Struthio camelus: one gene and its partner. The protein of the gene in region 1 purifies or fractionates together with the protein of each later gene. This does not show direct contact. Links are inferred from orthologs where the notes say so. Each region holds a gene or a part of one and is shown on either strand. Other genes may lie near its edges. The genes, in order: SBF1 and MTMR1.

Region 1 (12,162 bases):
TGGCAGGCAGCAAACCTCTCTGGGCAAGAGGTCCGGTCGGCAGAGAGGTGCCTCTGTCCCCTGCAGCAGGCAGTCACCCACAACAATCACTCGCTGTTTCTTCCGGGAGTTCCTGCACGGCACAGGGTCTGCCAGGCCAGTTGCCTCCCTTGGAGCCATGCCCAGCTCCTCCTTGGCTTGGAGGGTGCTAAACTTGTTCTTCAAGGGTAAGTCTTGAGGAGGAGCAAGAGCCTTTCTCCTTCTACGAGAGGTCACCAGCTTCCAGCTCTCTTCAGCAGTGTTATGATGGACCGTTACACACAGTACAGAGCCCTCCGACAACTCTGCTGCAGTGGGGGCTGGGACTCCTGGAGCTGCACAGCCTCCGAGAACGCCCTGTCCATCTCCTGCTCATCTTCTCGGATGCTACGCAGCCTACTCACTTCCTCCCATAACTCCTTGACCTGACAATATAAGTGATAAAGCACAGCACACCTCACGCAGGAGAGCTGACTGTCAGCCCAGGCCTTGCGGAGAGGCCCCAGGCACTGCCTGCAGCCTGCCACCTGCAGAGCTGCGTCTGCTGTCCGAGGGTCTGTCTGGGTTGAAGCCTCAGCCACAGCCGATGCAGCACCTCCAGCAGCCACGGGGGAACGTGCTCTGTGGCGTGTCATGACCATGCCCGGGGAAGGACACAGTGCTATGGGAAATGAAGGTGCCTTCTTGCCTTCTGGCGCCCTTCTGCACAAACTGCTGCGTCTGTTGGCTGCCTCTGTTCGCTGCGCCCAATTTGTCAAGCAAATTGCTGCAAGGTGGGAAGGAAACGCTGAAAAACTCCCGGGCCGTAACCGGAGTGCCGCAGCGTGCCAGCTGCGGAGGTGCAGGTCCACATCCCGCCTTGGCCCGGCCCCGGAGCCGCGGGAGCTGCGGAAGCCACGGAGCCGGGAGCTGGGGCCGCGCTGGGACGGCCGGACACAGCAAAGCCATCGGTGCTCGACGCAACTGTCGTCGCGCTGGCACCTGCACACGCGGCGGGGCCGGGGCCGGCGGCAGGGCCAGCGGGACGCGGGGAGCAGTGGCTTCCAAAACTGTGGTCGCTTGAGTCCGCCCTAAGGTTTTTAAACCTGAACTTATTTGTCAGGGGCCAGGACAGCAATTTTCCGGGGTTTTAATACCCCTTAGTAGGGAGAAGCAGGAGCTTTGCCGGGGCAGACGGCTGTGTGCTGGGGCTTCGCGTCCGCGGCTCAGCCCGGGGCGCGGGGAAGGGGCGGCGAGCGGGGCGGTGAGGCTTGCGGGTGACACGGCGGTGGGCCGAGCTGCAGGGCAGCGCGGAAACGAGCATCCTGGCGACGAAGCTCAGACTGAACCCATGCTAGTGATTGCCAGGCTGTGTTTAAGGGAAAAAACGCTGTTTTTAACACAGCAGTGTTGTGTTTGTGCACAACACCGAGCTCTTGCTGGCCGAGAGACGGTCCGGATGCTCCAGCCGAAGGGAACCGGCGAGAAGGTGCTGGGAGGAGGCAGCCGGGGCAGGAGGTCGGGGGCGCCCCAGCCTGCACGCAGCATCCTGCCATGGGGGCGCCGGCCCCGGGGAGCGGAGGAAAGGGGGGAAAAACGTCGCGGAGACTCTGAACAGCTCCCCGGCGAGGGGCCGGGGGCCAGGAATGGCTTCGGAGGTGGGTGAGGGACGTGGGGCTGAGCGGCCGAGCTGCGTCTGGGGAAAAAGGGGGATGAGGGGCTGCCGGGCCAGCAGGAGCCACATAATGGCTGGGGGGGCCCTGTCGCTGCCATCCCTGCTGGGGCCATCTCTGCTGGTGCCATCCATCTTGGTGACATCGGCACTAGTCCCGTCCTGTTGGTCCCATCCCTGCCAGGGGCCATCCCTGTCCGTGCCGACCCTGTCCAGGCCATCTCACAGAAGGGCTGAGGTTGGCAGGGACCTCTGGAGATCAGCCAGTCCAACCCCCTGCTCAAGCAGGGTCACCTAGAGCACATTGCACAGGATCACATCCACACGGGTTTTGAAGATCTCCAGGGAAGGAGACTCCACTACCTCTCTGGGCAACCAGTGCCAGTGCTCTGTCACCCTCACAGGAAAGAAGTTTCTCCTCATGCTCAGACAGAACTTCCTGTGCTTCAGTTTGTGCCCGTTGCCTCTTGTCCTGTCACTGGGCACCACGCAGAAGAGACTGGCCCCATCCTCTCGACACCCTCCCCTTCAGATACTTGCACACATTGATGAGATCCCCTCCCAGTCGTTTCTTCTCCAGGCTGAAGAGTCCCAGCCCTCTCAGCCTTTCCTCCTAGGAGAGATGCTCCAGGCCCTTCATCATCTCAGTAGCCCTCCACTGGGCTCTCTCCAGTAGCTCCATGTCTCTCCTGTCCTGGGGAGCCCAGAACTGGACCCAGCACTCCACGTGAGGCCTCCCCAGGGCTGAGGAGAGGGGCAGGATCACCTCCCTCGACCTGCTGCCAACACTCTGCCCAATGCACCCCAGGATGCCTTTGGCCTTCTTGGCCACAAGGGCACATTGCTGCCTCATGCTTCACTTGTTGTCCACCAGCACTCCCAGGTCCTTCTCTGCAGAGCTGCTCTCCAGCAGGTCAGCCCCCAGCCTGTCCTGGGCCAATGGGGGTTATTCCCCCCAGGGGCAGGAGCCTGCACTTGCCTTTGTGGAACTGCATGAGGTTCCTCTCCGCCCAGCTCTCCAGCCTGTCCACGTCCCCCTGAATGGCAGCACAGTCTTCTGGTGTGTCAGCCACTCCCCCCAGTTTAGTAGCATCGGCAACCTTGCTGAGGGTGCACTCTGCGCCTTCATCCAGGTCACTGATGAACACATTGAACAAGACTGGACCCACGACTGACCCCTGGGGGACACCGCTAGCTACAGGCCTCCAAGCAGACTCTGCACCACCGACCACAACCCTCTCAGCTCGGCCATCCAGCCAGTTCTCAATCCACCTCGCCGTCCACTCATCCAACCCACACTTCCTGAGTTTACCTAGGAGGATGTGAGGGGAGACGGTGTCAAAAGCCTTGCTGAAGTCCAGGGAGACAACATCCACTGCTCTGCCCTCCTCTACCCACCCAGTCCTTCCATCACAGGAGGCTAGCAGGTTGGTCAAGCATGATTTCCCTTTGGTGAATCCGTGCGGACTACTCCGGATCACCTTCTTGTCCTCCAGATGCTTAGTGAGGACCTCCAGGATGAGCCGTTCCATCCCCTTTGCAGGGGTGGAGGGGAGGCTGACAACCCTGTAGTTCCCTGGCTCCTCCTCCTTGCCCTTTTGGAAGACTGGGGTGACGTTTGCTTTCTTCCAGTCCTCGGGCACCTCTCCTCATCTCCAGGACCTCTCAAAGATGAGCAAGAGTGGCCTAGCAGTAACATCCAGCAGCTCCCTCTGCACTCGCGGGTGCATCCCATTGGGGCCCATGGATTTGTGGATGTCAAGTTTGCACAAATGATCTCGAACCCGATCCTCCTGCACCAAGGGAGAGTCTTCCTTTCTCCAGACGTTCTCTCTTGTCCCCAGGGTCAGGAATTCCTGAGGACTGGCCTTAGCAGCGAAGACTGAAGCAAGGAAGGCATTCAGTAAATCTGCCTTCTCCGTATCCTTCGTTACCAGGGCCCCCGCCCCATTCAGCAGCGGGCCCACATTTTCCCTAGTCTTCCTTTTGTTCCTGATGTATTTGAAGAAGCCCTTCTTGTTGTCCTTGACATCTCTTGCAAGAGTTAATTGCAAATGGGCCCTTAGCCTTCCTCATTGCAGTCCTGCACACTCTGACAACGTCCCTATACTCCTCCCAAGTGGCCTGTCCCCTTTTCCACATTCTGTAGAGTTTATTCTTCTGTTGGAGTTTTGTCAGGAGTTCCTTGCTCATCCGTGCAGGTCTCCTGCCTGCTTTGCTGCACTTCTTCCTCAGAGGGATGCACCCGTCCGGAGCCTGGAGGAAGTGATGCTTGAATATTAGCTTTAATGCCGATCCCTCCGGTGCCATCGTTCCCGGTGCCGTCGTTCCCAGTGCCGATCCCTCCCGGTGCCGTTGTTCCCAGTGCCAAGCCCCCAGTGCCGTCCCGGCTGCCCCCGGCTCGTGCCTCCCGGCGCCGGCACATCCCGCCCTCGGCTGGTTCCCCGGTTCCATCCTCCTCCCGGCGCTCGCCGTGCGCCGGCCGCGCTCCGTTCCCTCCGGCGAGGCTCCCGGCTCACGGGGCTTGGCCGTGGCGGCGCCGGCTCCGCGCCTGCCCAGGGAAGGGCCCGGCTCCCGGCCGGCGAGTGGGGGCTCGGGATGGGGAAAGCCTCCGAGCGGGAGCCACCCGGGGCCGGGCTGCGGGGCGCGGGTGCCGCTGGTGGGGGGTTTGGCCGTGCCGTGGGTGCCTGGGCCCCGCACCGGGTCGCTGCGCGGGGCTGGGGTCAGGGCCGTGTCTGGCAAGGGGCTCTCGCTCACCCCCGGGCCCAGCCGCAGCCGTAGCGGGGAGGGGGCTCTGCGCACCTGGGGGGCCATGCATGGGGGGGCCGCGCACCGGCGGGGCCATGCACCAGAGGGGTCATGCACCGCGGGGGGCTGTCCACACTATGAGGGGACCGTGCACCATGGGGGTGTGTGCACGTGGGGGGCCGTGCACCGGGGGGTGCTGTGCACACTGTGGGGGGACCGTGCACCGTGGGGGGCTGTGCCCACTGCAAGGGGGCTGTGCACCAGGGGGCTGTGTGCACCTGGGGGGCCGTGCACCGGGGGGTGCTGTGCACACTGTGGGGGGACCGTGCACCGAGGGGGGCTGTGCACACTGCAAGGGGGCTGTGCACCAGGGGGCTGTGTGCACCTGGGGGGCCGTGCACCAGGGGTCTGTTCACATCTGGGGGAACTACGCATAGTGGGGGACCGTGCACTGTAGGGGGCTGTGCACACCTTGGAGGGGCATGCACTATGGGGGCTGTGCACACTGCAAGGGGGCTGTGCACTAGAGGGGCTGTGTGCACCTGGGGGGGGGTGTGCACCATGGGGGGCTGTGCAGCCTTGAGGGGGGCCGTGCACCGTGGGGGTATGCACATCTTTGGGGCCATGTACCATGGGGGGCTGTGCACACCTAGGGAGATCATGCACCACGGGGGACCATGCACCCAGCAGGAGGGGCCATGCACCATGGGGGTGTGTGCACCTGGAGGGGCCGTGCACCGGGGGGGGCTGTGCACACGTGGGGGGACTGGGCATGCCTGACAGGGGCATGCGCAGTGGGGGGCTGTGCACACCCAGGGGACGGTGTGCACAATGGGGAGGGCGCCCAGGCACAGCAGGAGGCTATGAGCAGCCAGGGGACTGTGCACATTGCGGGAGGGGGCCATGCACCGTGGGGGACTGTGCACACCTAGGGGGGCCGTGAAAACCCGGGGGAGCCATGCACACTGGGAGGTGGGGGGGGGGCCATGCACCGTGGGGGGCCGTGCACACCCGGGGGGCCGTGCACACTGGGAGGTGGGGGGGGGGCCATGCACCGTGGGGGCCGTGCATGCCCGGGGGGGGAGGGCCATGCACATCCCGGGGGCTGTGTGCACCTGGGGGGGGCCATGCACCATGGGGTTTGTGCGCATCTGGGGGGGCCATGCACACTGCGGGAGGGCCATGCGCCGTGGGGGGGGGCTGCACACATTCGGGGGGGGGCAATGCACACCTGGTGTGGGGCGTGCACCGCTGAAGGAAGCCATGCATGGTGGGGGGGGACATATACAAGCGGGGGGGGGGGGAGAATCCATGCACACTGGGGGGGGGCGCTGTGCACACCAGGGGCCCAATAATCGGGGGGACCGTGCGCAGGGGGAGGGGAGAGGCCGTGCCTAGCGGGGAGCCGTGCACATCGCGGCGGGGGGGGCATGCACACGGAGCGGGGGGGGCCGCGCACCCCGGGCAGGACGCTGCACCCCGCGGCGGCAGAGCACCGCGCACCCGGGGGCCGCCCCTACGGGACCGGGGGGGGGCGGAGCCGCCTTGGCTCCGCCCCCACGGCCAGCCCCGCCCCGCCCCCGGCCACCAGCCCCGCCCCCTATCCCCGCCCCCTCGCGGCGCGCCCAATGGGGCGGCGGCGGCCCGCCCCCGGCGGCGGCGGCGGCGGCGGCGGCGCAGGCGCAGTGCGGGCGCGGCCGGGCCGGGCCGTGCGAGGCGGCCAAGATGGCGGCGGGCGCGGGGGTGCGCCGCCGCGCGGGGAGGGCCGCGGGCGCCGCGGGGCTATGAACGCGGCGCGACTGGGGGCGCGCCCGGCCTCGCCATGGCCCGCCTCGCCGACTACTTCGTCCTCGTGGGCTACGAGATGGACAAGCGCGGTGAGGGCGCGCGGGGCGAGGCCGCCGCCGCCGCCGGTGGGGGTGGGGGGCGCGACCCGCTGTCACCCGCGGGGGGGGGGGAGGGGCGCCGCGCGCGGCCGTTGGCGCCGCCGCCACGCGCGCACGGCGGGGAGGGGGGAGGGGCCCCCGCGTTGCCACGCGCGCGTGGGGCCGGGCGCCCCCTGCGCTCCCCCCCCCCCGCGCGCTCCCGCGGCGGGGCTCGCGCGCCCGCGTCGCGCGTGGGGCGGCGGCGGCCGGCGGCTCCTCGCGCGCGACCCTGAAGCGTCGCGGTCGCCCCCTTGGCGGCGCGAGCCGCGTCCACGGCGGGGGACAGTGCCGCGCGTGTCCGCCCTCGCCGGCGCGGCGCTGGCCGAGCCGCAGGAGGGCGGAAAGCGGCGCCCCCTCCCCACGCCCGCGGGTGGCCTTCAGGCGCGGAGCGCTGCCTTCCGTCCTCGCCGCCGAGCGGGCTTTCCGCTGAGACACGCGCCTTCCAGGCTCCCTTTCGGCAGGTCTGTTCTCAGGGATGTTGTCCCTTTGTCCTCGGCCTGCCCGTGTCCTTATCCTCGGCGCTGGGGGTTGGCTCTCCTCCCGGGGTGCTTTCTTCTCACCTCTGGCGTTTAGCTGTTCCTGGTGGGAGTGAGCTTCTGTCGGCCTCGGAAACAAGGTTAAGCCTGCACAGAACGAGGAGCGTTTTACGGGAGCCTGTGCGACACGAGGAACGCTTCACAGAACCTGCGCTGAGAGCGTCTGAGCACCGCGTGTTCCCCGAGCAGGAGACCGTTGACCGAACTTGTTAGGACTGATAGAAGGGAATCCTCTTTCACGCACCCCGTGTCTCATTACCCTGCGGTTTTGATTATTACAGGAAGTTGTTGAGGCTGAGAGCTTAGCTGAAATTCTCAGCGGCCGCCTAGCTCTGTGGATGTAAGTGTTTGCGAAGTTGGGTGCTGACACGCTTCAGGATTTCCACACTGATCATCGATCTTGTCTGTCTTTTGTTCCAGAGCAAACCGATCGCCCCTTACGGGACCAGGGGAAGCATTTGGGTAGTGCAGAGTGGTACTACATTGCGCAGTAGAGCTGCGCTGAAAGGGCAGTTTCAGGAGAGCAATTCCAGAGTTTGGTCTGGAGAGTAGAAAGCCTGGTAAAGAGTTTCGGTGTCTTTGTGAGTTGCGTCTGATCACACGGAGTGGGGTTTATTTCGGATGCATTCCCCTGATATTACAGCATGCTGTAGTATCGGACAGTGGTTTTGTCCTGGTGTAGGAGAAGGAACTCTTTTTACCCAGAGCGTCCTCGTGCCGTCTCCAGGTTGGATGTGTGCGCCTTTGAGATCTGTCAAACGATGGTCAGCCCAGGCCTGTGTTGCCTGAGAACAGCTGCTGTGATCTCGGTAGAAATTAACAGGAGACTGGGAAGATGATTTGCAGCTGGACCACCTTTGACTGATTTCTGCGCCTTGTCTCTTGGGCTTCTAAACGTTTTGCTCCGCATCCTTTGCGCAGCTCAGCCTCCCTCATGGAATTATAGTAGCTACTCATATATGCAGCATAAAACTGGTGGTGGTTTCTAACAGTTACTAGCTGATCAGATGTGGCGGGGCTTGTAGAACAGGTGAGCGTTTTGATCGTGTGTTCCTTGTCTTAAGTTTTGGAAAGCTGGGTTTCAGAAGGGAAAAAGGGATGTATAAATGCCATGCACCCTTGGTGTCATTTGAGACTGGTTCTGGGAAGACGGACAGTGCTGTGGGGTTTAGTGGTTGATTTGAGTGGGACATTAGAAAGGAAAGAACTTGCGATTAATTATATTCTTCTGACTTAAGTATTCACTTAAAAAAAAAAAAAATCTGATGCATGTAATATAGGCCACAGAGCTGTCCTGAACTCATTTGTAATTGAGCTGGTACAGATCTTGACAAAACATCCAGTCTTGACCTGAAAATCATTAGTGGTTTTTTTTTGGTAGTATAAAAAAGCACCACCAGCTGAGGACCTTGTCCCAGAAATTAACTGTCCCACTTAAAAGCGTGTTTTATGCCTAGTTTCAGCTTCTGGCCTTGGATTTGAGAGATCCTCAAACCAGAAGATGCGGGCATATTATCATCAGCTTTGCTCCCTCTAAAGTACTTTTAGACTATAGTAGTGTTGTCTCCTCATCAGTGATGTGATTGTAAGTTGCAGAAAACTTCCGAAATTGTTGTTCAGGTGAACAGAATTCTTAGTGAAGTGAGGCTGGAGGTGTGCGGGGTCCGAGGTTTGACACTTGCTTCCCGACCTTGCTGCTGCCGCCGCTTCCGTAGGCCAAACGATGGAATTCTCAGCTTGGTATTTTGGCGCTGCCGCTGGGGACTTGGAGTCCTCGGGGGTCACTTTGCAATGAGGTTTTGTGATTGAGGATGGTTGTCTGGGATAATACATGGCTGTAGTCTACTCCATTTTTATACAAGTCAGGTGTGCTTTTTGCTTCTGGCTGTTGGCAATTTCTTAGCATCGCTCTCAGTCAGATAGTCCATGGCGGGAGGTGCTGAATTCTATCTTGGTTGCACTCAGGCATCAAACAGTCACGTGCCTTAAGCATGTCAAGGCTACCGGATTCGAAGGAGATAGTGTCCAAGAGAGCCTGAGAAACTTCCCCTGGCGAACTTGCATTTTCTTGCTGTTCAGATCACTGAGGAAAAAGTTACCTCAACAGAGTGAAGTATTCAAGAATCAGGGCAGTTGCACACTCTCAACCAAAGAACAAGAATGAAACTTGCCTGAAACCTTGCAAATGGCTGTTCTGGCCAGTGACACCTAAAGCAAAAAGCCTTTGCATCCCAGTTTGCAAGCGCCCAAGTGCTTTCCCAAGCTATGTGAAGACTGAAGTATGAGATGTTCAGAAGCAACGCTTGCGTTTAAACAAATTGCTAAGCCCTCATGAGAACTCGAGAGGATCAGTCTGCTAATGATGCAAAGGTTGCTTGATTTCTTTGTGACTGATTACTTGATTTTGGGGGTCAATCTGGCAGCGTTTATTCCCCACTTCCTGTTGTTCTGTTTTCACGTTCCTCCTCCCTAAAGGGAGCTTAGATAACGTTTGAAGGGAGGGCATGCTTCTCTCATCTGTGAGTGACTAATTGCTTTACTGGTTGGGTTAGTCTTGACAGAGCTGTAACCTGCGTGACAAGCTGCTTCCCAGGCCAATGGAGGCACCTCCCTGCCAACCGTAAACAAAACGGAGCGCATGGCGCTGCTGGGAGAATCTATCACAGAAAGGCCTTTGAGGGTTTGAGCTATGAAAAAATTAGATGGGATCGCTCAAGCAGGGAGGGAGGGAGGGGGCTCTGTTCTGTGTGGATTCCAGATGTGTCTATTTAACAGAGACACAGGAGGCAAGTTTGCATGCAGTGAAGTGCCGTGGTTTCCGAGAATGTCCTATATTAATAGGATTAGTGGTCAGCCAGGGACAGATTTGTGGTTGGGGACAGTGAAAGCAGAAGGTGTGTTAGGATGGTGGAGCTTGAGGTAGCTCTGCGTGATTTCCAGAGGTGTTAAGGTAGCCCAGTGCAGTCAGTTTCATGGGAACAAAAATGAAAGCTTGAGAAAGCAGCTCAGTATTCTCGAGGAGGAGGCAGGAAACGGGGTTTGGCAGAGCCAGCATGAGACTAGAGATGGGGCAATGGTGCAGTCTGGCATGTTCAGAATGTTTGTTTAGGTTTACAGTCAGCATCTGTTCCTGGTGGAGAGCATTATCTTTCTGGAGAGGCCTGCTCTTCCACTTGACATACAATCTTGTGATGCAAAGTCACGATGGCCTCTAAAAACACTGAGTCTAATGGCGTTCTTCTCATCTGGAAGTAAGAGTGAAATGATTGTTAACCGTTTCAAGAAACACGTTTGAATGTGAAACTAACTTCTCCGTGGTACAGTGTGAGATCTTCAAGTTGGACGATGTGATTATGAACTAGGCCAGCAGGCAAAGATTCAGCTGCTTTTCCTCTAGCTCAGTGAAGTCTCTAATTTTGCAAGCCACACGCTAATGTGCCGAGCCGTTGGATTTCTGCCTCTTTGTCAGGCAGGGATTGTGTTCAGTGAAGCAGAATCCTGAAGCGTTACAATGGACTGAATTGTCTCACCAGAAGCTGTGGCTGCCTGATGCTGACTTCCAAACGCTCCAGTCAGTTGTGACTGCAGGCCGCAGCTGCTCTGTGTGCTGAGCCAGTTTTCAGTATCTCTGCATCTGCATGTTTGATCTACTGTAGAGTTTAGTATCACGGGAGACTGCTTGTATGCTTCAGAGACCCCAAATAAATGTATTTGAGCGAATATGCCCCAGCAGAAGGAAATGGATCTTTTCGTATGTGAACGTTTGTCGTATTGTGTCATGATTGTTCACGTTATTCTCTGTAAATGGATGTTTTTAAATCTCTTGGCTCTTATAGTTCTGTTGTTGCTGACAAAGGGCTGCCTAGCAAAGCCAGGACTTCTGGCTGCTTTTACCCCCTGGACCTGAGAGATTTTTCCCTGTGTGTCCCTGGTGGCCTTTTTTAAGAGTCCAGATCTTTGAAAGAATAGCTCAATTTCAAAGTATGCTTAACATGGATGAAGGCCAGTCTTAATTTTGCTGTGTGGGGCACTGGGTGAGGTATGGCCCTTTCTTTGTGGGAGCTCATGATTTAGAAAACACAAATTTCAGAATAAACCTTTAAGATCCTACTGCTGCTTCTATCTGTGTCCGAATTTGCAACTGCCCTTCTAAACGTCTTGCCCTAACGCTCTTTATACGCACTATTTTCCATAAGCATGTTCTGTACCTTGGTTTTTGGTGGCCTCTTTAGCTGTTGGAGTGGGAAGGCAAAATTCAGATTCCAGGGCTTGACACTAGAGGAAAAAAATCTTAATTTAAAGGGCTAGCTCTAAACCAGAATTGTTAATTTGCGTGTGTTTATTCTTACCTATCCTAATACTTTTCCATAACAGTTGTTCAGGTTGTTGCTTAAGCCCTCTGAACTTGTGTTCCTGTTTGCTTTTGTGCCTAAAAGGATTTGTTTAATTCTCATTCACAAAAGTCATTGCAGAGTAAATCTGCAGGTAGTCTATGTAAGGAAGATTTGTGATCAGGTTAATTTTATGGGTGCATTAGGGCTCTGATGGATGGAAACCCTCCTGCCACACCTATTGTAGCCTGATCCAAAAAGGCAGATGGCAGTTGCCACCAAAGGAATGAAAAGGTTGAGAAGGGTACAGTTTTTCTGGGTGGGGTGAGCGTGGTAGATGGCTGCTATGGAGGGTGATAAGACTGTGCAGAGACCTGAAGACCTCAGTTGAGCTACTAAGCTCTTTGTATTTCCTTTCAGTAATCCAGACTGTTATGTCCTGCTGGATTTAGATTACTCTTACCGTACTGAAGTTTAGTTCTTTCAGAACGTCTTGCTGCTCCTGCAGTCGGGCCTTGGTCAAATTTGGACATGTAATTTTCATTTTTGAGCTTCTGTAGGAGTTATGGGCAGGTGTTGAGAGGCAAACTGCCTCAGTGTTTGTTGCCGTCGTCTTTCTGTGAAATCTTTGAAACAGCTTCTGGTGATGCAAGAGGTTAAAGTAGATAAAAATGCAGTTCTGCATTCCTCTGTGCAATGCGTGCAGCACTCCTCTCTGTCTCTCAAGCTTTCACTGTGCAGCCAGTGCCTGGAGCGAAGCTCCATTGGCTAACGTTACCGCCAGAGAAGCTGAAGTAAACCTACTGGGGAGAGGGAAGCTCCCACAGCTTATCTCTTTTTTTACTGTCTCGCCCTAAGAGACCACCAGTGTTTTAAGTAGATTTTCAGCCTGTCATTCTGCTAGATTCTTTACTGCTGCTGGATGTCCGTGTAGCCCTTGCTGGTGGGAGGAA
Region 2 (12,292 bases), on another chromosome or scaffold:
TGTCAAAAATACAAAAATTTCTTTGAACTCAAGTCACATGCATTGTCTACCTCAGAGTGAATCTTCAGGTTTAAGTGTGCAGGGAAGAGAGGAGCATCCACCTGGATAGTTTAGTGATCTGGGTTTTCTAGTGGCTTAAATTACCCAAGGTGAAGTGTATGACTTTTAGCTTTTGATAGATGGATTATGTCAATATAACTCAAAATGTATCTTTACTTTCAGTGTAATGGATGCTTAAATGCTTGTTTAACTAGCCCCTTTTCATAATGGGCCCAGTTACCACCTTGGGCTTTTTCCTGAACATCTTTGGGATAGTTTTGCCATAATAGTTCTGTGCATCTGAATCTCTTCTGATTGGTGTGAAAACTAATTTTGAAACCGGAAATTTGGATAGCTCTGCTACAGAAGCATTAATACTTTAGTGTAAAATAAGAAACAGTGTCTATTGGCCATAAAATAGACTATTTTGAGTAACGAGGCTTTATTGCTACATTTCAGAGAATAGGCCATGGTGATAAAAATCATGCTGATGCAGACAGATCGCCCATCTTTCTCCAGTATATTGACTGTGTGTGGCAGATGTCTAAACAGGTAGGTTATATTGTTCTTCAGAACGTAATGCTGTTAGGGGTTTACTGGACTTAAAACCTAGATCGCTAAAAATTGTGTATTGCAAGAGGAGAGCATACCTGTCTTTTTGCTCTGACACTATAGTCACATTTTCTTTTTAAGTATACCATCCTTCACTATCTCTAAAAGTGGTATGTGAGGCTTAGTCATGTTGCTTAATAAACTATCAGCCATGCATGAGAGGATGGATATGTCCTAAATACGTGCTTCTCTAACACTTTTAGAGGTGTGACCCAGCAGAATGTCTTTGCAGGAATTGTGACTGATGAGCTTATTGGGGTCTGTTTCATTTCACCATTTAGCAAAGCTGTTTCTTGAAGTACAAAGACAAGTTCTGTTTTGTCAAAGCTTGAAAAGGAAGCTTGGGAGCTGTTGAGTGCTAGGAGTTAAACGTTTTGTTTTCAGTAAGTAACGAGAGTAGCAAACCTAGTACTTTTGGGGCCTAGAATTAGGAACTAAACCCTTATCTTCCTGTATGGCATTGCAGTATTAAGAGTGCAATCTACATATGTTGTTAGGGGAAATGTTCTGGCTGACTAATACCAACGGAACTGTAACCACTGAGTTTTGCTTTGGGGTGGAAGGGGGAGTTTAAAGATATAATTTTTGAGGGGGTAGAAATTCTTGTCAATAACTAGTTTGAGGCAATTGAACACTATGATATCTGAAGGTTTACTCTGTTATAAAGTACATATAAAATATGATCTTAAAACTCATTTTTTTAGATGCATCTAGGCTTCTAAATGCCTTTTTTAGCCCCTTAACCAGGGCATGTACATCTCTGTTTCTACAATGTAAAGAAAACTTGTCTTTTTGTGCTAGTTTCCTACAGCCTTTGAATTCAATGAGCAGTTCTTGATTACAATCCTGGATCACTTGTACAGCTGCCGGTTTGGTACTTTCTTGTACAACAGTGAATCTGTTAGAGAAAAAGAGGTCAGTCAAACTGATTGTTTAATTGCATTGCTGTCTTGACTCTAGATGATTACAGAAAGCTTCAGTTACATTCCTTGTGCCACAGTGTTTTTGAACTGTCTTTTTCCTGGTTGTGGGGTAGTTGAACAGTAACTTGTTTGGTTTTGGTAGCTTAAAGACTCTGCAATCACTAAAACACTCTTCAAGAACTATTTTTGGAATATTTCTAATACAGTAACTTATTATGCGTCTATTTGAATCAGAGGTCTATTATTTTCAGAATGTAACCCTGGCTTCTGTGATAGACTTGCTAATTCAGTGTGAATGTTTACAGTTTGTGTTTCATTTTCATTTTAGAAAGTGACTGAGAAAACATTGTCATTGTGGTCTTTGATAAACAGTGAAAAATCTAAATTCACCAATCCTTTTTATACTAAAGAGCTAAATCGAGCACTCTATCCAGTAGCCAGTATGCGTCACCTAGAACTTTGGGTCAATTATTACATCAGATGGAACCCAAGAATTCGGCAACAAGTAAGTGAACCATCTAAAATGTATGAAAGGCTTTTAGACTTTGGAAATAGGATTATATTTCATGAGTGTAACTTGTAGGTTAATACCTGTAATCTGTTTGGATTTCTTAATATATTTGTGAGGATAGGAGAGAAATGTGAAAATGATTATTTGGTCCCATTCTCTGACATCGCCCAACTCTTTTCCAGAACATTGAGCTTATTTCACTGCTTAGTATGAAGTCATCTTTGAGAACTGCTCCGGGGGAGGGGAGGGGCATTTTTAAGAGCATTTAATGATACGAAAAGATGAATAACAATGCTGAGAAATAGTTTACTGATCACTGGAGAGTTAGTATTGGCATCACAAGCACACTTGTCACATTTGCCTAATATGTCTCCTTTTTCCAGGATAATGTAAAAAATCTTTTACAAGTTAGGATGATCTGTGCAGTGTTCTTAGGATAACTGAGAATGCCATTTGTATTGGTAGCTTATGGCAAGGTGTTTTTTTTTTTTTTGCTAGAACTTGGACCTGAATTGTTTACACAGAGTAAGCACTGGATGAATTCTCTTCTTAATAAGACAAGTGGATAAGATTGGAAACCCAGGGCAGCTTTTATCAAATAAATAGTTCAGTTTTGTGCATTTTAATTTTTAATTGATATACGGGCACTTGTTTTTTTTTTTTTTTGTTACAAACTTGCTAAAAATCTAGGCAGCGTAGCATGTAAAGATACAGCATACAAAGACTTATTTATCCTTCTTAATAAGTTGTAGAGTTCTGAGTAGGAGAAGAAGAAAGAGGAGCAATTTCCTTGACAGAAACGGTGTTCACAGTCCAGGCCCTGGAATGAATTGGGAGTTACCAAGCAATGCAGTTCCTTTTCTGTAGTTGCTCTCCTGCAATGTTTACAGAGCTCTAGAGGCTGGAAGAAATCCAGACAGTATACTCTATTTTCTTACAAGTATGTTGCCAGTTTTAATTTGAAGTTCTCATTTTAAAGCTTTTGTTGCTTGATGTGAAAGATGGTGGCATTTTGCAAGAGGTGAAACCAAAGATTTCTTTTAGAAGGTGAAGGATTGTAGGGCATGCAGATTAGTTGTAAAACTGCTTTAAAATGCTCTTTGCCATTTTTCAGGACAGGTGTTTGCCAGTAGAAGCTTCCATTTAGAAATGCAAATCCATGTGACAGTCTTCTGTTGCTTCTGCCAAATTTGGGTCCTTTGTTTTTCCACCATTTTTATACATAAAAAATTCAGTGAGATTTCTTCTGTTGCACATAAGTGAAGATGAAGCATTATGTTTTTAAGTGACTAAATAGGCTGACCCATGGCCTGAAACAACTTTTTGGGATGGACCTTACTTAGTGTCATTACTTAGAAGCATGTTGGGCGTCAGACTTGGACTAAGGAAGAATCTGGTCTGTTACTTGCAACCTCATTAACCTTACATCTCCAGTTATCTTACTACATTCAATCATTGAAGCAGCTGTAGAAGTTGGATCCATATTCGTTGCCTGCCTTAGCTGAGGCTCATATTGAAAGGTGTGCCTAAAAGGCATTGGTTTACCTGTTTTTTGGACTGGTAGAGGGTTTAAGTTTGCTGCTGAAACTGTACTGCTGATAAAATTAAGCTACAAGCACTTCTGTGTGAAACAGCAGCAGCTCCTTGAGAGAGAGAAAACAGCTGACGGTAACTTAAGGCTCTGTATCTGTCTGGGACACTTGTAACGTTTCTTCTCCATTCTGTCTATCTGTGAAAAGAAATCTAAGTTGAATAGAAATAGTTAAGCTGCTCTTGATGTGAATAATCTTCTGAAAGCTACAGCATTGACTTCTTTTAAAGACATTCAAGTTTACTTGTGGATTTCACTAATAAAAAGTATTGCATTTGATTTATTTATACATAGTTGCAAAGTCGCTATTGAAATCTGAAACACCATCAGTACCGGAAGTTATTTAATCTGAAGGCATAGATTTTATCTTAGTCTGATCAGCGTAGCTAAAATCACCAGTCCGGCTAAACTGTTTTTAGAGAGAAGGTGAGGCATCTAACCTCTAGAATTTAATCTGCTCATAAGAAGAGAAAAGCTGAAGACTAGGTGTTCATACCTATTTTGAACAGGATACTAGGTAATAAGAAAACAATCTGTATGCTTCAGGAACAAGTCGTGCTGGTGGATTGATTTTTTTTTTTTTTTTTTTGAGGAAGGAAGAACTATTTTATGTGAAGCAAGCTTTTTTTTGGATCACAAAAATTTGACACAGAGGGCTCAAATATAATGCTCTTGCATTGTAGAAATAGATATTTCTATTTGGCTACCCCTTGTTAGATATGTCAGAAATAGCAAGTATGGGATGGAACCCTAACTGTATGGAAGTAGCTAGACTAAAATGATAAAAGACTAATTTGGGTCTCTTTCTAGCAGCCAAATCCAGTGGAGCAGCGTTACATGGAGCTCCTTGCATTACGTGATGATTATATGAGGAGACTTGAAGAACTACAGATCACAAATAATTCTAAAATACCCAATTCATCAGCCTCATCAGCATCTTCCTCGCAAATGATGTCCCAAGTACAAACACATTTTTGAAGAAAATGTTGGCTTCTTTCTACAGTGTAATAGCAAGAGAGGTGATTAACAAGGAGGCGTAGTATAAAGACAAATGTTTTAATGCCTTACATTGGATTGTGACATTGGATTGTGTCCTAACACAAAATATTTTAGACTGCCTTCATTTAAGGAGGACTTAAAAACACACAAAACCAACTCTTTAAATATGTGCCTTTCGGAACCTGTGGATTGGGAATGTTAATAACCAACTTCTAGTTATGGAGTGCTTAGACTTATTTTGGAAAGTCTGGTACAATTAAAATGAAATTGATTTATTGTTTTTTCTAAGAATGCTTTAGTTTATGACACTTAGGTCATATTCCTGTAAGGAAATTCATGCTTGATCTTACATGTTGTGAATAAACATGCTAATGTCAATAGGAATATTCACATTGTGTAAAATTAGGTATGTGTGTAATCCTTTTAGGAATAAGACTGTGGCCTTGAGACAAAAATAATTTATATCTTAAGATTTCAAACGGAAGTGTTGAAATGTTCTAGTTACCTGAGGATCCCAATTTCTGTTTTAAATGAAAACGTGGAAGGAATTTCTCTATACTTCTAAGTAAACAGTTCAGATTGCTCAGTAGGTATCAATCCAAGAAAAATCTAATTTTTATTTTTTAAACATGCAGATTGAACTGGATTCTGAGAAGTCATATTTTGGTTAACTGCTGAGCCTTACAGTATACTACAGATTATCAGTGTTGGCTGTATTGGTTCTGTGGATTCTTACAGAATAAGAATGGTTTCCTAAAAAAGCTTATATAATTTAAAAAAGACCCACAGGGACGTTGCTTAAATATCCAACAAGAGCAATTGTCTTAAAGCTTGTGTATGGCTTCTAAAACTAAATGTGCCTATTTAGAGCAGCTTTTATACCAAAGTAGGCAAAAATTCTCGGTTACAAATACTGTTAAACTTATAAATATATAGCTTACTGTTTAATGTATATTTAGCTTTGGTTAATGAATTTATTCTTAAGTATTTAAAGGGACTTCAGTATACAGGATTTGCATATAGTATGTGCACTTACATTGAATCTTTCAGTGAATTCTGGCTTGAAGCCTTCATTTCAGAGGCTTCTTGTAAACCTTTCTAATTTGCTCCTTTCAGGTATTTTTAATAGTTGCAAGCACTTATGACTGCACAAACCTTGCTACTTGATATGTAATTAATGTTTTGCATATTCTCAGAATTTTAATGATATTCAGGCAATCCAGGAAATCTTGCCATTCAGAATATGTAGAGGACTCTAATATTGTTATTTTAAAGGAAAGGTTTTGATGCTTGAGGCTTCGATCATTGTAAATTATTGTACATGTGAGTTTTGATCTGCAAAATATAATAGGATTATGTATAAATTTAAGTTTTGTGCAAGTGTATATATAATATAGTTTATTAGAAATTCTCCAGGTTTATGAAGTGTAAATATTTTGCTTATGAAACTAAATTTAAAGCTATAGTTCCATAAAGTAAGTCAAAGTTTAGAGGACACCTGAATATTTTTAGAAACAGTATTTTTTCAAAGAAATAGATTTACCACCTCTTTAATTCAGTATATACACTGAATTGCACTATTTTTTCAGGGACGTTCAGAAGATACTGCGTGTGTGTTTTCTAAATGCACATGACTTATACACACTTATTTTTGTCCTCTAAATCTCGTTCTCCCTTGGATGTTTTTCAGTGTTTCCAAAGTAACAGCATTTAATCTTGTAATCCCAAAATCTTGGTATGTTAAATGGGATGCGTTGCATCTGATGAAGAATGATACTCAATTGATAATGGTAAACTTTAACTTTACTACGTTTTGAAAACGGCATACTCTGGTATATTTGCCTTCCACTTGCTTCTGGCCTATAAAAAGGAAAAAAAAAAGCTAATTTTATTGAAATATTTGAAGTTTCTGTATCTCAGTTGAGTGCACTGATGTCATCTCTGAGCAGTATGGAGGAGTGCAGAAAATCTAACAGTTTTTACTGTGTAAATGCTACCTGATAGCCCATTGCATTTGTGAAAGTGTAACATTTGAAAGGATTTTTTTTTCCCCACTTCATTGCCTATATACTGTTCTTCATATTACCGGTTCAGCTGAATTTCATTCTTTGAAAATCTAACATAGCTATGTGTGCGCTTGGATTTTTTCAAGTCAATGAATAAAATATTTGTTTTAATCCTATTAAAAATTGTGATATTAATTAGAAAAATGCTGGTGTTCTTTCTGGGAAGTGCTGCCTGTGCAGTTACTGTGACTGCTGGCGTACAGGGGTCACCGGTGGTAGGAAGCTGTCCCCGCTCGCCGCGGCGGGGCCGGTACCGGGCCCCCCCGCCCCAGCCCCCTTCACAGCCGCGGTCGGGTGCGCTGCGCGTAGCCGGTAACTCGGTAAGGGCAGTTATTCCTGTTGTAGCAGAGCGTAAAAACTGGAAGGCGTTTGAGGGGGTGAAGGAGAAAGGTGGGTGTGGGGGGGGGCCAGAACTGGGGTGCCAAGCTGCGGGTGCCTGACACCTGCTGGGAAATACTGAGGTGCAGACCTCCCCGTTTCCGCGTTTTTGCTCCCGTGGGGCGCTGGGCCTTCGCTACTTGTTTCGAAAGCTGCCGCTGAATGCCTGGCGTGGCGCCCCTCCGCTGGGCACCCGCGGTGCGCCCCCTCCGCGGCTCCTGTCAGACGGGGCCGGCGGTGCGCTGACTCTTTATTTCTGGTTTTCCGAGCGTGTCGCGATGTTTGGCAGCTCGAGCCTGACAAGCGGCGGCGGCGCCGCCGGCCCCCCGCCCTCCGCCCCCGCCAGGCCCGCGGGCGGGCGCCCTTCCGCCACCGGAAAAGCGCTCGGCTCCTTCGTCGCTGCGGAGGAGTCGCTCGCTCCCCGTCGGCGCCGCGTCGGGGGCCGAGGCGCGGCCGGTCCCGCGCGGCGGGGCAGCCCCCGCCCGGCGCCCTCCGCGCGCCGCCGCTGAGGCCCGGCCCGGCCCGGCGGCGCCGCCCTCCCCCGCCGCGCGGGGCCGCTGCCGCCCTCGCGGCGCCGCGGAGGCCTGTGGGTAGCAGCGTCGCCGCCGCCGCCAGGTGACAGCTCGGGCCGCGGCCGGGGCCCGCGCGGGCCGGGCCGGGCCGGACCGGACCCGCCGGTTGCAGCAGGGCGAGCGGGCCAGCCAGCCCCGGTGCCGGCAGCATGGAGTGGGCGGCGGCGGCCGGGCCGGCCCTGGAGGGCGGCGGCGTGAGCCGGCGAGCCGTGCGGGCGGCGGGGCCGCGGCAGGCCAGCGCCGAGACGCTGGACAGGTGAGCGGCGGCGGCGGCCCGGCCCGGCCCGGCGCGGGGCGCTGCGGGTGGGGGCGGCGGGCGGCGGCGGCGGCTCCGCGCCCCTGCGCGCCCCGGCCTGGGCGGCGGCGGCGGCCTCCCGCCGCCTCCTCGGGAGCTGGAAGCATCGCTGAAGATGGAGCGGCCGCGGGCGCTTCCAGCGGCCCCGCCGAGGCTGGCGGCGCTACCAGGCTCCCTCAGCCGATGACGCCGTTTGGTAACCGAAAATCCGGTTTTTTTTTTCTTTCTTTGTTTTTTTTAAAACAACCACGCAAGCACAGGGCGGATTTTCCTCTGCGAGTGAGCTGGTTCTTGTAAAAGTTTCCTGCTTGCGGTACTGTAGGTCGGGTTTGTTTGGTTTTTTTTGGTGTGTGATTGGCGTCATTGTTTTTGTGCAGAGTGAGGCTGCCTTCAGGATTTTGGTTAGGGTTTTTTTTTCGGGAGTACTTTGACTTATCTTCGTTATGTCAAACGAGACCGTTCTCAGGGTTTAGAAGTATTTTAATTTTTTGTTTCTGAAGTGCAAGTGTATGTTTCATCTACAGATGGATAAGGGCCTTAAATCAGGCGTTTTTCGACCCCAGCGGTAGGTCGGTTCTTTTGCGGATGTGTAGGTCTTCCGCGCTCGGTGCAAGTTGGGTTTTCTGTTGGCTTCAGGTTGGGGGGTTTCGCCAGTAAATACCTGCTCAGGAGTCTGGTGCCAGGTGTTACTGTATCTAACTCAGAGCACCTAAAGATTAGAGTAACTTCTTATGTAGAAATTTCTCTTTGGAGACAGCCTTCAGAGTTTAATTTAAAAATCCTTAAACGAGGATTAGAAGCAAACTGAAACGTCGCCTAATTTAAGCAAAAAGAAAACATATTTTATTTAAGAGTTGGTACCACATTCCACTCTCCATATTTCTCCATCTTCGCTCGCTTTCCTGTTAGGAGAAGCCAGGTGTTTCACGTGGCTCTAGTGAAGGTGTAAATCAGATGTCCGTCTTCTGTCACTAAGTTTTCCATATTTTTGTTCCTTGCTAATGTACTTTTTCATCTTCCCTCTTAATTTTCACCTTCTCTTTCTCTCCTTCTGATCTTCTTGTTACACCCTAGAAAAGTTATAATGATGGTGTATTATAATGTAATTTATTTATTTACCATTATGGCTGTACCAGGATAAACTAGTGTGCATGATGATGGATAAACTAGAATGAAAAGATATATACTGGTATGTTTCCCACTTCACAGATTGTAATAATGCCATATTGGTATGAGTACACTGATCACAGGGTGTGTAAGCGCTTTCACATTAGTTTTCCTAGTCATGTTAACTGTTTATCTAGTGATTCCTAGTGAAAACAAGTTACAGTAAAAATAAATCTTTTTCAAAAATAAGAAGTAAATACATAGCTGGAAACAAACTTTGGCCAACCCAGTAGACAGTAGAAATTCAGCAGTATGAGGGAAGGAGAAGTAAAGGAGATCAGAAAAGGATTACTGTAAACTTCTAGCTTCTGCGTTCTTTTGCAAAACATGAGGGAAGGTTTCTCTAAATGAAGCTGAAATCCAGTTCAGCACTGCCCTCAGATTTGTGTTCAAGTAGGAATGTAATAGACATTTTAATAACAAAAAACATTTTATGAACTGGTACTGAGCAGGGTTTTGCAGGTGGGGAGAAAAATATTAAAATTTTTGTTGTTAGAGTTCTTGGAGTTTTTTGTTTCGGGTGTGATTTGTTGTTTTTGCTACATGCACGGTCAATTCATACCTACCTTGTCCTAGCAGAGTCAATGTGTTAAGACCAGACCTCTAGTTAATTTGTAATTTGTCATCTTATACCAGTATCACACCCTCTTAACATCCCAGTTGTAGCTGTTCTGTGTTGTGTATGTTCATGGCGTTGTAGTTGTTCACTTCAGTGTCCCAAGTGCTCCCAAAATGTATCACCTCAAATTAATTACAATTCTACTGTTAGATGTCTTGTCTTTAGGCTTCTTGTGAACACGCCACATTGCAGAATTCATTGCTGTGGCATGGGAAGGCCCATCATAAAGATTTTTCTGAGATTATTTGATGAATACCAAAAGGAAATATGGCTAAATAGAAATTGCTGTTTAGAAAATATGTATTTTCTATGTGTAATATTACTTACATAGAATACTTCTAAACAACACTAGAGTAGCTTACGTTTTTAAAGATTAGCCCAGAGTTGTTATATTTTAAAGAGAATTTCTTGACTAACAACAGTGGGAAAAGTAAGGAGTTTTTTTACAGTATTACATGATCAAATTCATTCCATGTATGGCTTTAAGAAAAAAAATATATATGTATCAATGTTGAACAAGTTACGCTGGGTAAGGAGACAACATTTTTATACGTTTCTAGGACCCTAGCCATACTTTGGACCTATTGACAGCTCTATGCCTCAATAAGTTCTAGTAAAATTAAATGATTTCTCTAATTTGATCAGCAAAATAGTTGTGTTCTGCCTACTGACATCGTAAAAATCAGAAAGCTGATTTTTATGACCTTAGTGATCATTTATGGTCTTGTTCTTTAGTTATGCTCAGTTGGTATACTGTCGTCAACAAAAATTTTGAGTTATTGCTAAATAATTTGAAATATTCTGTTTTTGTAGCCCTACTGGATCACATGTTGAATGGTGTAAACAGCTGATAGCTGCAACCATTTCTAGTCAGATTTCAGGGTCTGTCCCATCAGAAGGAGTGTCCAGAGACTACAGGGTAAGTGACCTGAGGGGTGCAGATTGGCTTATTTATGTTAAAGGAGGGAATGATCAGGAAATTCCTTGCTACCTTGATTGTCGGGTGGTAAGTACGTAAGTGATATGTGAATGTTCCAAAACTAGAAGCGTTTCATGACGTTTAGGAATCTTTAGCAACTGTTCTCTGCTTACGTGCATAGTCTAGAGTAGTGGCATTGAATTCTACAGAATAAAATAAAATAGAGAAAATTAAAAGTCAATATTTTACATAAAACAGCAAAAGTGAGTTGTTGTTCCTTTGCATTATTACATAGAAGTTTTCAGTAAGATAGATTAATAACTGGAGATTGAAATGTTTTCTTTATTCTAAATGATGCACGGTACAATTTAGCTTTTCAGATTTCACCAAAAAAAGAATGTCTTTGCTACTCTGCAAAGAACAATATGGCTTCTTTTTTGCCTTATATAAGGGATTTCACCAGAGACAGACAAGTTAACACCAAAACCAAAGAGCGTACCTTTTTTTCTTACCCTCCCAGCAACATTTCTATCACTGAGGTAATATTGTGCAGTATGGTTAACCTGATAGGATTCGTTACGTTTTTTACCCGTCCTCTTTCAGGCTCTTTTACTGTTTGCTGTATATGCAGAAAGCCAGCCTGGAACTATCAAGAGTAGAGCATCATCAGTTTTCCTCCTCTTATAAATGGGCAGAAGTCTCACCTGCGTTTCAAGTCCCTTTAAGAAACCCAGGCTGCTATTATTTAGACCACAAAATGTACTATCCTTTTTCTTCCTAGTGTTGACCTATCGTTTTATGATCTTCATGCAAAATGGGCAAATAAAATTTGTGTCTTCGGCTTTTAACTAGGGTATAATTATTTACTAAGCTCTCTGTGTTTGAAAAGTTTGGATGTTGTCTAGAGAGGGCGTATTTTGACTTCTGCGATTGCAGGTCAAATTCAGCTCCAGCCTGAAGATGAATCCACTAAGTGTATTTGATCTTAGTCTGTTTAAGAATTCACCTCACAGAGATTGTCACTATATTGGCACAGTCAGCAGCTTATGCTCGTAAAAAAGGGTAGCTCTTCCATGCTATGGCAGCTGAATTGCAAGTGCCTGCTCTCGGTCAAGGCTAATGTCTTTGATAAAACATTGTGGGAAACCTTGCGTTACAGCTGCCTATGTTGTTTTTGCCCTGTAGATCAAGGACTTCATTTTAGTAAACTCTTAAGTTTGGTATTGAGTTTATCTTCTGAGTCATAATGCGTTCCTCTGGAGTAGAGAGTGCTTTTTTATTCTAAATAATCTGCTTCTCTCGTTTTGGATGTTACTTAAGAGGAATAAATCTTTTGAGGCCTAATTAAAAACTTTTAACTCTGTTTTATTCTCTCTTTCTTAGAAATGAAAGAAAAGGGTTGAACCTTTTGGAATTCCAAATTTTTTGTGAATAAATTGTATTTAGCTTTTTTCATTGGTATGATTTTAAACTCCTATATTTGTGTATAATACCATGGAATTTTTTGCCTTTTACATTCAGGATGGGTGTGTTGTAGTGTATTGTGCTTTAGGAAAGGATTTCCTTTGCACTTAGCTTCTGCAGAAGTTCAGTGCTGCTAT

What was found.
Region 2: the proteins of SBF1 (region 1) and MTMR1 purify together in Homo sapiens (affinity purification with mass spectrometry; 4 studies listed by BioGRID and IntAct, with this or other methods). This does not show direct contact. The link is inferred for Struthio camelus from reciprocal best matches to the Homo sapiens genes SBF1 and MTMR1.

Annotation. Positions count from the first base shown.
Region 1 is NC_090942.1:787,937-800,098, forward strand, and holds the start of SBF1 (myotubularin-related protein 5), read left to right. Parts: upstream 1-6,144; 5' UTR 6,145-6,239; coding exon 6,240-6,294; intron 6,295-6,902; exon of another isoform or gene 6,903-7,213; intron 7,214-12,162. UniProt on the Homo sapiens protein: Acts as an adapter for the phosphatase MTMR2 to regulate MTMR2 catalytic activity and subcellular location. Promotes the exchange of GDP to GTP, converting inactive GDP-bound Rab proteins into their active GTP-bound form.
Region 2 is NC_090952.1:13,546,078-13,558,369, reverse strand, and holds the start of MTMR1 (myotubularin-related protein 1), read left to right. Parts: upstream 1-7,795; 5' UTR 7,796-7,840; coding exon 7,841-7,947; intron 7,948-8,395; exon of another isoform or gene 8,396-8,495; coding exon of another isoform or gene 8,496-8,551; intron 8,552-10,585; coding exon 10,586-10,691; intron 10,692-12,292. Other genes in the region: MTM1 (myotubularin), read left to right, coding at 499-591, 1,453-1,566, 1,903-2,079, 4,487-4,654. UniProt on the Homo sapiens protein: Lipid phosphatase that specifically dephosphorylates the D-3 position of phosphatidylinositol 3-phosphate, generating phosphatidylinositol. Could also dephosphorylate phosphatidylinositol 3,5-bisphosphate to produce phosphatidylinositol 5-phosphate.